Macaca fascicularis: one gene and its partner. The protein of the gene in region 1 purifies or fractionates together with the protein of each later gene. This does not show direct contact. Links are inferred from orthologs where the notes say so. Each region holds a gene or a part of one and is shown in the gene's direction. Other genes may lie near its edges.

Region 1 (6,316 bases):
CCCGGGACCCCTGGGACCCTCGGTTTCAGCACCTGCACCGTGGAAGTCTCCCCACCTGTCTGCCCCCCCAGGATGGCTCTAGCGCCCTCAGTGGTTGGGGGACTACCAGCGCCTAGGGACACAGCCGCGTGCCCAGAATTAATCAGTGGGGTGGACGGAGCGTGTCTGCCAAGCGGGTGATGCTACTGCTTTTTTTTTTTTTGAAAGTCTCATTCTGTCACCCAGGCTGAAGTGCAGTGGTGCCATTTCGGCTCGCTGCAGCCTCCACCTCCTGAGTTCAAAATTCTCCTGCCTCAGCTTCCTGAGTAGCTGAGACTGCAGGCACCCACCACCATACCTGGCTTTTTTTTTTTTTTTTTTGTATTTTTGGTAGAGAGGGGGTTTCACCATGTTGGCCAGGCTGCTTTCAAACTCCTGACTTCAGGTGATCTGCCTGCCTCGGCCTCCCAAAGTGCTGGGATTACAGGCGTGAGCCACCGCGCCCGGTCTTCTTCTTGTTCTTTTTTTTTTGAGGCTGAGTCTCTCTCTCTGTCGCCCAGGCTGGAGTGCAGTGGCGCAATCTCGGCTCACTGCAACCTCCACCTCCTGGGTTGAAGCAATCCTCCCACCTCAGCCTCCCACAAAAAGCTAGGTTTACAGGCATACACCATCTCACCTGGCTACTTTTACTTTTTTTAGTAGTGTTTATTTATTTGTTTATTTGGTTTTTTGAGACGGAGTCTCGCTCTGTCGCCCAGGTTAGAGTGCAATGGCACAATCTTGGCTCACTGCACGCTCCTTCTCCCGGGTTCACACCATTCTCCTGCCTTAGTCTCCAGAGTAGCTGGGACTACAGGTGCCCGCCACCACGCCCAGCTAATTTTTTGTATTTTTAGTAGAAACGGGGTTTCACCGTGTTAGCCAGGATGGTCTCGATCTCCTTACATTGTGATCCGCCTGCCTCAGCCTCCCAAAGTGCTGGGATTGCAGGTGTGAGCCACCGTGCCTGGCCAATTTTTTGTACTGTTAATAGAGATGGGATTTCACGATGTTGGCCAGGCTGGTTTCGAACTCCTGACCTCAAGCAATCCACCTGCCTCAGCCTCCCAAAGTGCTAGGGTTACAGGTGTGAGCCACTGCACCCGGCCTCAGGTGATGCTTCTTAAAGAGAGCATCCTGGGGTGTGAGATGTGCTTGTTGGACAGGTGGGTGCTGAGTCACCCCCCCTCCCCAGGACTGCCCGGGGTGGGAGCCTCTCAGAGTTGAAGGTCTCTGCCTCTCACTGGTCTCTGGGTGACTGAGGGGTGTCAGGCCCCCGTCCTTGTCTCTAGGTGAATGAGGTTTCAGCCCTTTCTTCCCCTGTCCTGGGATCCTGCAACTCAGGTCTCGTTTTGCAAACGTGGAAGCTGAGGTCTGAGCAGGAGAAGCGCCTGTGTGGAATGGGGCTGGAACCCAGGTGCTCTGTGGTCTGGGTGGGCGAAGGCCGGGAGGGCCCAGGGTGGTGCAGGCCAGCACATTTTCTGTCTGCAGAGGAGCCCAAGGTGGGCATCAAGACCATCAAGGTGTACTGCCAGCGCATGCAGGAAGAGAACATCACGCGTGCCCTCATCGTGGTGCAGCAGGGCATGACGCCCTCCGCCAAGCAGGTGGGCACCCCCCACCCCGCCCTTCCAGCCTCTCGCCCTCCCCAGCCTCCTTCCCCGAGCAGCGCCCACAGGCGGCTCACGTGCCTGGGGCCAGGCCCGTCAGGGTGCCCTGGAGGATGTGGCCCGGATGTCTGACAAGCCCTGACCGCCTCCCTCCCACCCCGTCCATGGCCCCACTGCTGAACCCCAGCCCCACCCCAGGCGCTGCCGTCCTCCCCTGGCGCTCGGGAGGGGCGTAAGGGCGGAGGGCGCTGTGCCTCTGTCGCCAGTGCCTGTGTGCCGCAGCCCTCGGCCTGGCGCAGCTTGCGGGAGCCGGAGGTTCCTTGTCCTGAGCCAATGTCCAGGGGGACATGCAGAGGAGGCCCGGCACGGGGCGTGTTCCCCGTCTGTGTATCGGACACTCCTGAGCCAGGCTGCCGTGCTGTGATGGGCAGTCAGCAGAGCGGTTTAGTCCCTGGCCCACCGGCTGCGGGGTTCACGCAGTCACACACAGCGGCACCCCGTATGGGGAAGAGGCCACCCTGCAGCTCTGAGGGCCGCCCCTGGAGGCGTGTGACGGATGGAAACACGTCCGAGTTTCCACGGCCTCATCACTGCTCATGACAGAGGCCCTTGATGAGCGGAGAGGCTGGTGGGGCTGGCAGTGGGGTTTTCTGATTTATGACGTGGGGTGTGTTGGGGCACACGAGTAAGCTCTATGTAGCTTGAGGCAGGAAATGGGAGTTGGGGTTGTCTGGGCCCCTCCGGGCCGTGCCTGAGCGCCACTCTCTTCCAGTCCCTGGTCGACATGGCCCCCAAGTACATCCTGGAGCAGTTTCTGCAGCAGGAGCTGCTCATCAACATCACGGAGCACGAGGTGGGCGCCCGCCGTGGAGCCTGCGTGGGGCCGGCAGAGATGCAGGGTTTGCGGGTGGCCAGGAAGATGTGGGATCTGGGGCCCAGGGTGGGTGCTCCCGTTAGTGCGTGGAGAACAGGGGTTCTCAAAGGGTGGCCCGGGACCTGCAGCAGCCAAACCCGGGAGCTTCCTAGGAATGCAGATCCGCAGGCCCACCCCAGCCTGTAGAACGGGACTGTTGGGGGTGTGGAGGGAGCCTAGTGCTGCCGACATGGCAGGAGGGGTCCCAGCGGGAGGCGGCTGTGCCCTGCCTGTCTGCCTCAGAAGCCTGTGCAGCCGGGGTGTGGGGGTCGGGGGAGGGGGGTTCGGGGCTCTTGTCCATCTGGAGGCACAGGGGCTGTGGTGGCGCCTGGGAGCCGTGGGGTCTGGCCAGCCCTCGGTGATGCCTGGTGGCTTCCTCTCTCGGCAGCTGGTCCCTGAGCACGTCGTCATGACCAAGGAGGAGGTGACAGAGCTGCTGGCCCGATAGTATCCTTTCCAGCCCCTGTCCCTTGAGACTTCCGCGTCCCCCTCCCCCTCCACGGCTCCGTCTGGCATTTTCCTGACCCTGCTTCCCAGTAAGCTCCGAGAGAACCAGCTGCCCAGGATCCAGGCGGGGGACCCTGTGGCGCGCTACTTTGGGATAAAGCGTGGGCAGGTGAGCCTTGCAGGAAGAAGGGGCCCTGGGGCTGCTTTGAGCTGACCACTCAGAGAAGGGGCTTCTCTTCCTCCGTGACAGCCCCGCCCCTCAACCCAGGGCCTAGAGGGGACCTCGAGACCACACCCCCAATCCCCCCCTCTTAAAGCCAGGGTTACTAGGCCCAGAGAAGAGCGTGACCCAGGTTCCCGGGGAGCGGGTCCTGCAGCCCAGGGTCAGCATTTTGGGCCCCTGCCGGCCATCCCCAGCCCGTGGGCTGCCCGCCTGCTGTCTGGTGACTGCAGTGAGGCCCCTCAGGCGTTCCCAGCCCTTGCTCTCTGTCTCTGCAGGTGGTGAAGATCATCCGGCCCAGCGAGACGGCGGGCAGGTACATCACCTACCGGCTGGTGCAGTAGCCACCGCCTGACAGGTGAGACGGCCAGAGGGACAGGCACTGAGGCGGGGGTGTCGTCCCCTCCAAGCTGTTCTCGCTTCATCCAGCAGCAAACCCGTCCTAGCACCAGCCCAGCTGGGCCACCAGGCGCTCCCAGGACATCTTCAGCCCCCACCTGACTACGCGGGGCGTGCATGTCCCCCGCCACTGACCCACCTTAGAAGCGAGACACGGGCGGGTGTGCGGCGGGCCTTTCCAGAAGAGGGTTTAGAAACCTGCCCGGAGAGCCCAGCGCTCGGAGAGTGGGGGCAGTTTCAGGCTACCCCTTCCCGGCGTGGGCACCTGGGGAGGGACTGGCCTGAGTCAGGAGCGGGACAGCCTTTGCTCATGTGAGAACCTCGCAGCTCCCCTGGACTCTGGTCCTGGCGAGGTGCTGTCCTGGCAGGCAGCCCCACTTCACACTCAGCCCAGGGGTGGGGCTCGGCCTGGTCTGATGCTGGCAGTTGCTTTGAGGTCAGAGCAACTGCCCACACCTGTGTGACCGCTGGGCACAAGTGAGCCGCCCAGCCTCTGCACTGTGGCCTGGGCCTCCTCCCGCCGGGCCTCCTGCCCCTCCTTATCGCTCAGTAGTGGACGTTGGGCTGTCCTGGGCCGACTAGATCTGCCCCACTCGTGTGACCACCCTCCACTTCTTTCCCAGCCCCTAGAGGCAGACACACAGACAGTGACCCCCATCCCTGCAGGACGGACGCCCCTGCCCTGCCAGAGTCCAGCCCCCCAGCTCTCACGGCTGTTGCTTCTCTGGACTCCCCAAGGCAGGTGGCCTTCACCCAAGTTCTCCCATCCTGGGGTGAGGCCCAGCCGGCCCCATTCACCTGTGGATTTGTGCAAGATGCAGCCTCAGAAGCGACAAAGCCCCTGAGGGAGGTCACCTGGGGGCAGTTGGTGCTGGGCCCCCTCTGTTGGGGGTTTGGGGTCCCGGTCTCCCACCAGCCACTGCTTCCTCCTGGGCTCTCAGCCTTCTACCCCTTGTCTTCCTTTCCTCGGGGGCCCTGATGCGTGGTGGCCCCTGCCCAGCCTCGGCTCCTTACTCCATTCACGGCTGTGCACACCCTCGAGCCACCAGGGTGTGAGATTCCAGCTCTGGAGTTTTTGGTTGTTGGAGGAGGTTGGGTGTTTTCAAACGTTAAAGATGTTTTGAGCAAATAAATTTACTTGATATGAAAACCAGGCCTACTGAAAAGGTATTTAGCAGGTGGCCTTGCGTCTCCCCAAGCACACGAGGTCGGCTTGGCAGGCGGTCCCTCCTGCTGGCATTCTCTGGCCCTGGCTTCGGAGGTCAGCGCCTCCCCAGGCCCTCACCCCGCCCTCCCACTTGTGCTCCTGGATCAGGCGTGAGCGTGTCTCCCTCCCTTCCCGTGAGGGTGTGGAGTTCTCTGGTGTGTGCAGCTGTGGTTTGCGGCCAGTTCCTCGTATAGACATTTGGGATCTGGCTCTACTTCCCCCTTTGTCTGATTTCAGAAGGCCTCGCCTGCCCAAGTTTAACCCAGCCGCCTGTGTTTATTTCACAAGAGCTTTATGAGGATGTAATTCACCCTTGTGATCGGTGGTCTGCAGGGCTCCCGACGCCCAGGCCGGGGATGGCGCAGTGCAGTCCCGCAGGGATCTTTAGGTTAAGTCTGATGGTGTGTGAGTGACAGGGACGGTGCTTCCCCTTCTCTCCAAATGTGCTTTTTTCAAAATCGTTTCGGCCAAAGCAAGCCAGACACAAAAGGACAAACACTGATTTCACTCCTAGGAGGTCGCTAGAGTCGTCAGAGCCCGGAAGCAGGATGGGGGTGCCCGGGGCTGGGGACGGGGATGGGGACAGCGTGTGTCATGTGCACAGTCATAGTTTGGGAAGATGAGAACATTCTGGAGGCCGGGTGCGGTAGCTCACGCCTGTAATCCCAGCACTTTGGAGGCCAAGGTGGGCAGATCACTGGAGGTCAGGTGTTCGAGACCAGCCTGGCCAACATGGCAAAACCCTGTCTCTACTGAAAATACAAAAATTACCTGGGCGTGGTGGCTCATGCCTGTAATCCCAACTACTTGGGAGCTGAGGCAGGAGAATCTCTTGAACCCAGGAGGTGGAGGTTGCAGTGAGGCTCAAATAGGAGGATCGCTTGAGCTCGGGAGTTAAAAGACCAACCTGGGCAACACAGAGAAACCCCTCCCCTCTGCAAGAAACTTAAAAGATTACCTGGGCACAGTGGCTCACACCTGTAATCCCAACACTTTGGGAGGCTGAGGCGGGAGGATCATTTGAGGCCAGGAAGTCAAGGCTGCAGTGAGCTACGATTGTGCTACCATACTCCAGCTTGGGCCGCGGGGTTACACCCTGTCTCAAACAAAACGCAGTTCCACGGGCGTATGGGCCACGTTTCCAGTGCTTGGTGGCCACGTGGGGCTGGCGTGTGGAACCTCAGAGCTCAAGAACACGTCCGTCATCTGGAACGTTCTCCTGGACTGCCCTGGGCTGCAGGTGGACACGACATGGTCATTCGATGCCTGAGTGTCGGCACAGCCTGTCGTGAAGACCACCTGGGCTCCCACCTCGCGGGGCCCCGTGGCAGGGGGTTTCCCTTCCTCACATCTCCCCTGGGAGGAGGCCCAGGGCCACGCTGCGGGGCTACGTCCCCTCCCTGGCCCCTATCCAGGCTGGCAGCTGCCACAGAAAATACCCGATTAAAACCTTTATTTCAGCAAAATACACGTGCCTGTGAAAAGCTACACGGTGGCTTCCG
Region 2 (4,688 bases), on another chromosome or scaffold:
GCCCCACCCAAAGGTTTTTCTTCTGTCCTTTTTGCTTATTTTTCTTCCTTTTATTTTTCGGATCCATTGGTAGACAGCTTATTTTTCTTAATGTTCAGATTGTTAGTTGACTTCACAGCTTTTCCCTCATCCACTAGATAAATGCAATCTAAAAATGTCATTAAACTCCAATCTTTAGGGCAGAGAACTATTTTTCCCATTGAAATAATTTGATTGTTCTTTTTTCATTCTGTCTCTTCTCTGGAGGAAAATTAGTGTTTTTACGTGCTGGCTTAGAACTTGCTCCAAATGCCAAATTTTAAAAAGAAAAACTTTCCAGGGAAGGTTAGCAGAAGTTGTGCACCAAAAGGATGTGTGTCCTGGCTCGGGAGTCAGTGGCCTTGTGCTGTTTAACACAATCCTCAACTCTGCTGCCAGCTTGCTAGATGACCTTGGCCACTTAATTTCTCTGGACCTCACTCCTAGTGCCTGTGAAAGGGATAGGTTAAGCAGGTGATTTCTAAGGCCCTTTCCAATTCTAATATTCTATGGCTCTGTCCTCTGAAAGAATCACAGTGCCAGTCTTAGATTTCTCTCACCCTTCTCCAGTTGTATTCCGTGCAGAAAATGGTTGTAGAGATTCCAGTGTTTACACAGACAGTAGGTAGGGGACAAGTCCTGTGCCACTTCTTCAGATTATCAGATTTTTATTTGGTTTGTACTGGTCCCAGATTATGATCAAATACAGAGAAGCTTTGGGATTTGGGGGAGAGTGAGGTGGAGTGGATTGCTGAGTAGCACAAATCCATGTTTTCTTATAGCTTTGGATTACTGGTGGTTCTAATGCCCATTTTGGTTTCGTTTTAGGCTTTGGGCGTTGCCTTGTATATAAAAATGCTAAATGTACATTGAAACGATATACCAATCAGACTTTTGATAAAGTAATGGGGCCCATGTTGGATGCTGCTACAAGGAAACCTATCTGGCGACATGAAATCTTAGATGCAGATGGTATTTGTTCTCCAGGTAAAAGCCTTTTGAAAGAAATATTTTTAATATATACCTTTGAAATCATGTGTTATTCCATAATATTTCTGAATATTTGACAAAAAGGGCAGAAAAACGTAACAACCTATAAAACCACTATCCAGACTCAACCAATGAGGTCATTTTTGATGAATTTCCTTCCAGTTTGTTTTTCTATACACTATGTTTTTACCTATCAGTAATCTATGCTAACTGTAATTTTCTAGTTATGATTTTGAATAATAGAAAAGCCACTTTAAGGAAATATTTAGAGTAGTTCGTGTCCCTGCATCTGCACTGGTATTTCTTCATTTACGCATTTAGCTTACAGACTACTTTAGAATTTTATCCCCCTGCAAAGGTATGACTCCATTATAATTACAAACTTGTAATGCATTTTGTTGATGAAACAAATAGTCCTTGCCCTTATGGGTCTCACAGGCTGGTGCAGGAGACTGACATTGATCAGAGGATCATGCACAAACGCAGGTTAAGGAATCATATAGGTAGCTATGAGGCCATTTTATAGCAAGAGGATTTGACCTAGTTAGGAAGATCAGCATGGCCTTCCCCAAGGAAGTGAGCTGGAATCTGAAGGATAGGGAAGAGTTAACTAAAGAAGAAGGTCAGGGAGCGTGTTCTAAGTAGTAAGAAAAGCTTGTGCAAGGGTCCCGGAGCTTGGTAGTTGAAAGATCTGAAAGAAGACCAGTGCGGCTAACAAGAAGAGAGTGCAGGGAAGCATGGTGCACATGAGTTGGTGGGTGACGCGCGGGGTAGGTGCCAGAGTAAGCAAGTCCTTGCAACTGTGTTAGTATTGTCTTTATTTTATTTTATTAATTTTATTTTTGAGACAGGGTCTCAGTCTGTCACCGAGGCTGGAGTGCAGTGGCACAATCTCAGCTCACTGCAACCTCTGCCTCCTGGATTCAAGCGATTCTCCCACTTCAACCTCCTGGATAGCTGGGACCCATAGGCGCGTGCCACCATGCCTGGCTAGTTTTTTGTATTTTTTGTAGAGATGAGGTCTTACCATCTTGTCCAGGCTGGTCTCGAACTCCTGGGCTCAAGTTCTCCACCCACCTCGGCTTCCCAAAGTGCTGGGATTACAGGCATGAGCCACCATGCTGAGCCCGTGATACTATTTTCATTTTGATCCTAAAAGCAGTGATATATTCAGATATGTGTTTTGAAATGATCATTCTGACTACAGTGTAGAAAAAGGATTAGAAGGGCACTGAAATAGAAGGTAGACCTGGTACCAGGAGCTGTGGTGAAGGTGGAGAGAACCCAGTTGTTAGGAGGAAAATCCACATGACTTTGTCATGGTTGGCCTGTGGGTGGTGAATGCTTTATCAAGCTGTGATTCCAAAGAGACACAGAGTACGTGACTTCTCCTCCCTCTGTCTGCCTTTGTTTCTTGGAGGATTTTTCTCATCCTAACACTGGTCAGTATGGCTTGGAAAATATGCGCTATGACAGTACTACAGGTAGTTGGTCTTTGAGCTTACCAGGAAGAGATACAAAGCAAAAATGGGAATAACAGCAAAACCAAAGAAATATTTTGATTTTCTCATTGCCCAAGTTGAATTGGTGGTGGCTTATTACTGGTTGAAATAACTGTAAATAAAAATAAGTGATCAAAACTTAACATCCTAAGAGATATATAAAATTGCTATTTACTGAGATGATGTTTCTTATGTTAACATAGTCCTCTGAATTATTTTCTTAATTTTATATACACTGTGGGGTGTGTGTGTGTGTGTGTGTGTGTGTGTGTGTGTCTGTCTGTCTGTCTGTCTGTCTCATTCTGTTGTCCAGGCTGGAGTGCAGTGGCATGATCATAGCTCACTGCAGCCTCAACCTGGGCTCAAGCAGTCCTCCTACCTCAGCCTCCTAAGTAGTTGGGACTACAGGCATGTTCATCTGTGCCTAGTTCGTAATCTTTATTCCACACAGATGATAACAATATGCCTAACACTTTTCTTTTCTTCTCAGGTGAGAAAGTAGAAAACAAACAAGTGCTTGTAAATAAGTCCATGCCCACGGTGACTCAGATTCCTTTGGAAGGAAGTAATGTACCACAGCAACCACAGTACAAAGATGTACCCATAACGTATGTATTGGTTGTGCCTTGATAATATGTAGAAAGGTTAGAAAAAAGGGAAGGAATGGGAGAAATTAGAAGGTAGGTCTTGGTGTGTTGGAGAACTAGAAATAGCAATTTGGGGTAACATTACTTGTCATGAAAAAAGCATGGCATAGAATATAAAACTAGTCTATGGAATCATATAGACCCTAAACTGGGTTTGAGGTATGGACCACATAGGCAGGGGTTCCTGATGGAATTAACAACAGGATGAAGGGTACATGGCATAATAGTGCCTGGGTTTGAGGATCAGTGCAGCTTGCTGGGGCTAGGTTGTGAAATTGATACTGCAGAGAGGGACATGATAAGAGTCATATTTTTAAACAGTGAAACACACTGGCCACAGCATGGCATCACAGTATACTAGAACATAGCCCAGCTCTCGTACAGGTTGTCTTGTGTATCTTACATGAGTAAAGCATTTAAATTCTGTTAGCTTCAGTTTTTTCATTTGTATAATACAATGAAAGAGTTAGACTTGTTAATCTCTAAATTTCTTCTAAGCTCTAAAATTTAATAAAGTATGAACCTAGTGAGAAGGGCCAATGATAGTCACCACATTGTAATATAAAAACCAAACTAGAAGAGATATTTAACCTAGCCAAGGTGAACTAGGCCAACTGAGTTTAGGAGGTGGCAGTGAGGGTGACATAGGAGAACTGGATTCTTGAGCTGTGATGGCAGTTTTACAAATGTATTCAATACACAGTAGCTGAGGCCTGCTGTGTGCCAGCCACCCTGCCTCTTGTGCCAGTGATATAGAGCTGAAATAAGCCACAGGCGTTGCTTGCAAGGAGTCGTATTTAGTTGGCAAAGACCCCCACACAAAAAAAGTGCGGTAATGACCGTGATCATAATAGCTTATTGGGAATTTATACTGTACCAGTTACTGTTCTGGACATTTTACATGTGTTAGCTCAGTTAATCCTACCACCACCCTAGGAGCTGTGTTCTCTTAGTGGCTCATTAGAAAGATAAGATGGAAGCAAGGAGAAGTTAAGTAACTTACCAAGGTCACACAGCAGTAAGGGGCAGCACCAGGATTTGAAGTCATGCAATCTGGCTTCAGAGCGCTTCTCTTGACCATTGTGCTAAACACAGCAAGAGAGTTATCTCGGGTGCCATGGATTTGTCTCTGGAGGAGGAGCACCAAGGAGAAAATGGGCAGCTATGCTTAGGGGATGGTCCAGACTCTTACACTGACTTCTACAGGGTGAACAGCTATTTTACAGTTACAGAGGTGGCTCTGCTGGTTGGCTCTCTTCCTGTCTTGAAGGAGGATATCTCTTTTTCTGTGCAAAGTTCATCTCTCCTTTCGGTTTCTTAATTTTATTCACTCTTTTCAGAGACCTTTTTCTGTCATCTTCTCTTTTATCCTCCCATATTTTCAACCTGTTTCCTATTGATTCCTTCTTTACAGGTTAGAAAATGTGCTCAGATACTTTTTACCTGTAAAGGAATATAAAAGTTTTTTCTGGTCTTTGTGTCCCTTTCTAGCTGCCACTGTGTTCCTCTTCCTTTGACTCTGAAGCTCCTC

What was found. The genes of interacting proteins can lie anywhere in the genome.
Region 2: the proteins of POLR2E (region 1) and POLR3B purify together in Homo sapiens (affinity purification with mass spectrometry; 7 studies listed by BioGRID and IntAct, counting the BioPlex papers as one, with this or other methods). This does not show direct contact. The link is inferred for Macaca fascicularis from reciprocal best matches to the Homo sapiens genes POLR2E and POLR3B.

What each region holds. Positions count from the first base shown.
Region 1 is NC_088393.1:1,660,466-1,666,781, reverse strand, and holds the end of POLR2E (DNA-directed RNA polymerases I, II, and III subunit RPABC1), read left to right. Parts: intron 1-1,509; coding exon 1,510-1,625; intron 1,626-2,400; coding exon 2,401-2,481; intron 2,482-2,929; coding exon 2,930-2,988; intron 2,989-3,078; coding exon 3,079-3,157; intron 3,158-3,486; coding exon 3,487-3,552; 3' UTR 3,553-4,757; downstream 4,758-6,316. UniProt on the Homo sapiens protein: DNA-dependent RNA polymerase catalyzes the transcription of DNA into RNA using the four ribonucleoside triphosphates as substrates.
Region 2 is NC_088385.1:113,368,804-113,373,491, forward strand, and holds part of POLR3B (DNA-directed RNA polymerase III subunit RPC2), read left to right. Parts: intron 1-846; coding exon 847-1,005; intron 1,006-3,000; coding exon 3,001-3,118; intron 3,119-4,688. UniProt on the Homo sapiens protein: Catalytic core component of RNA polymerase III (Pol III), a DNA-dependent RNA polymerase which synthesizes small non-coding RNAs using the four ribonucleoside triphosphates as substrates.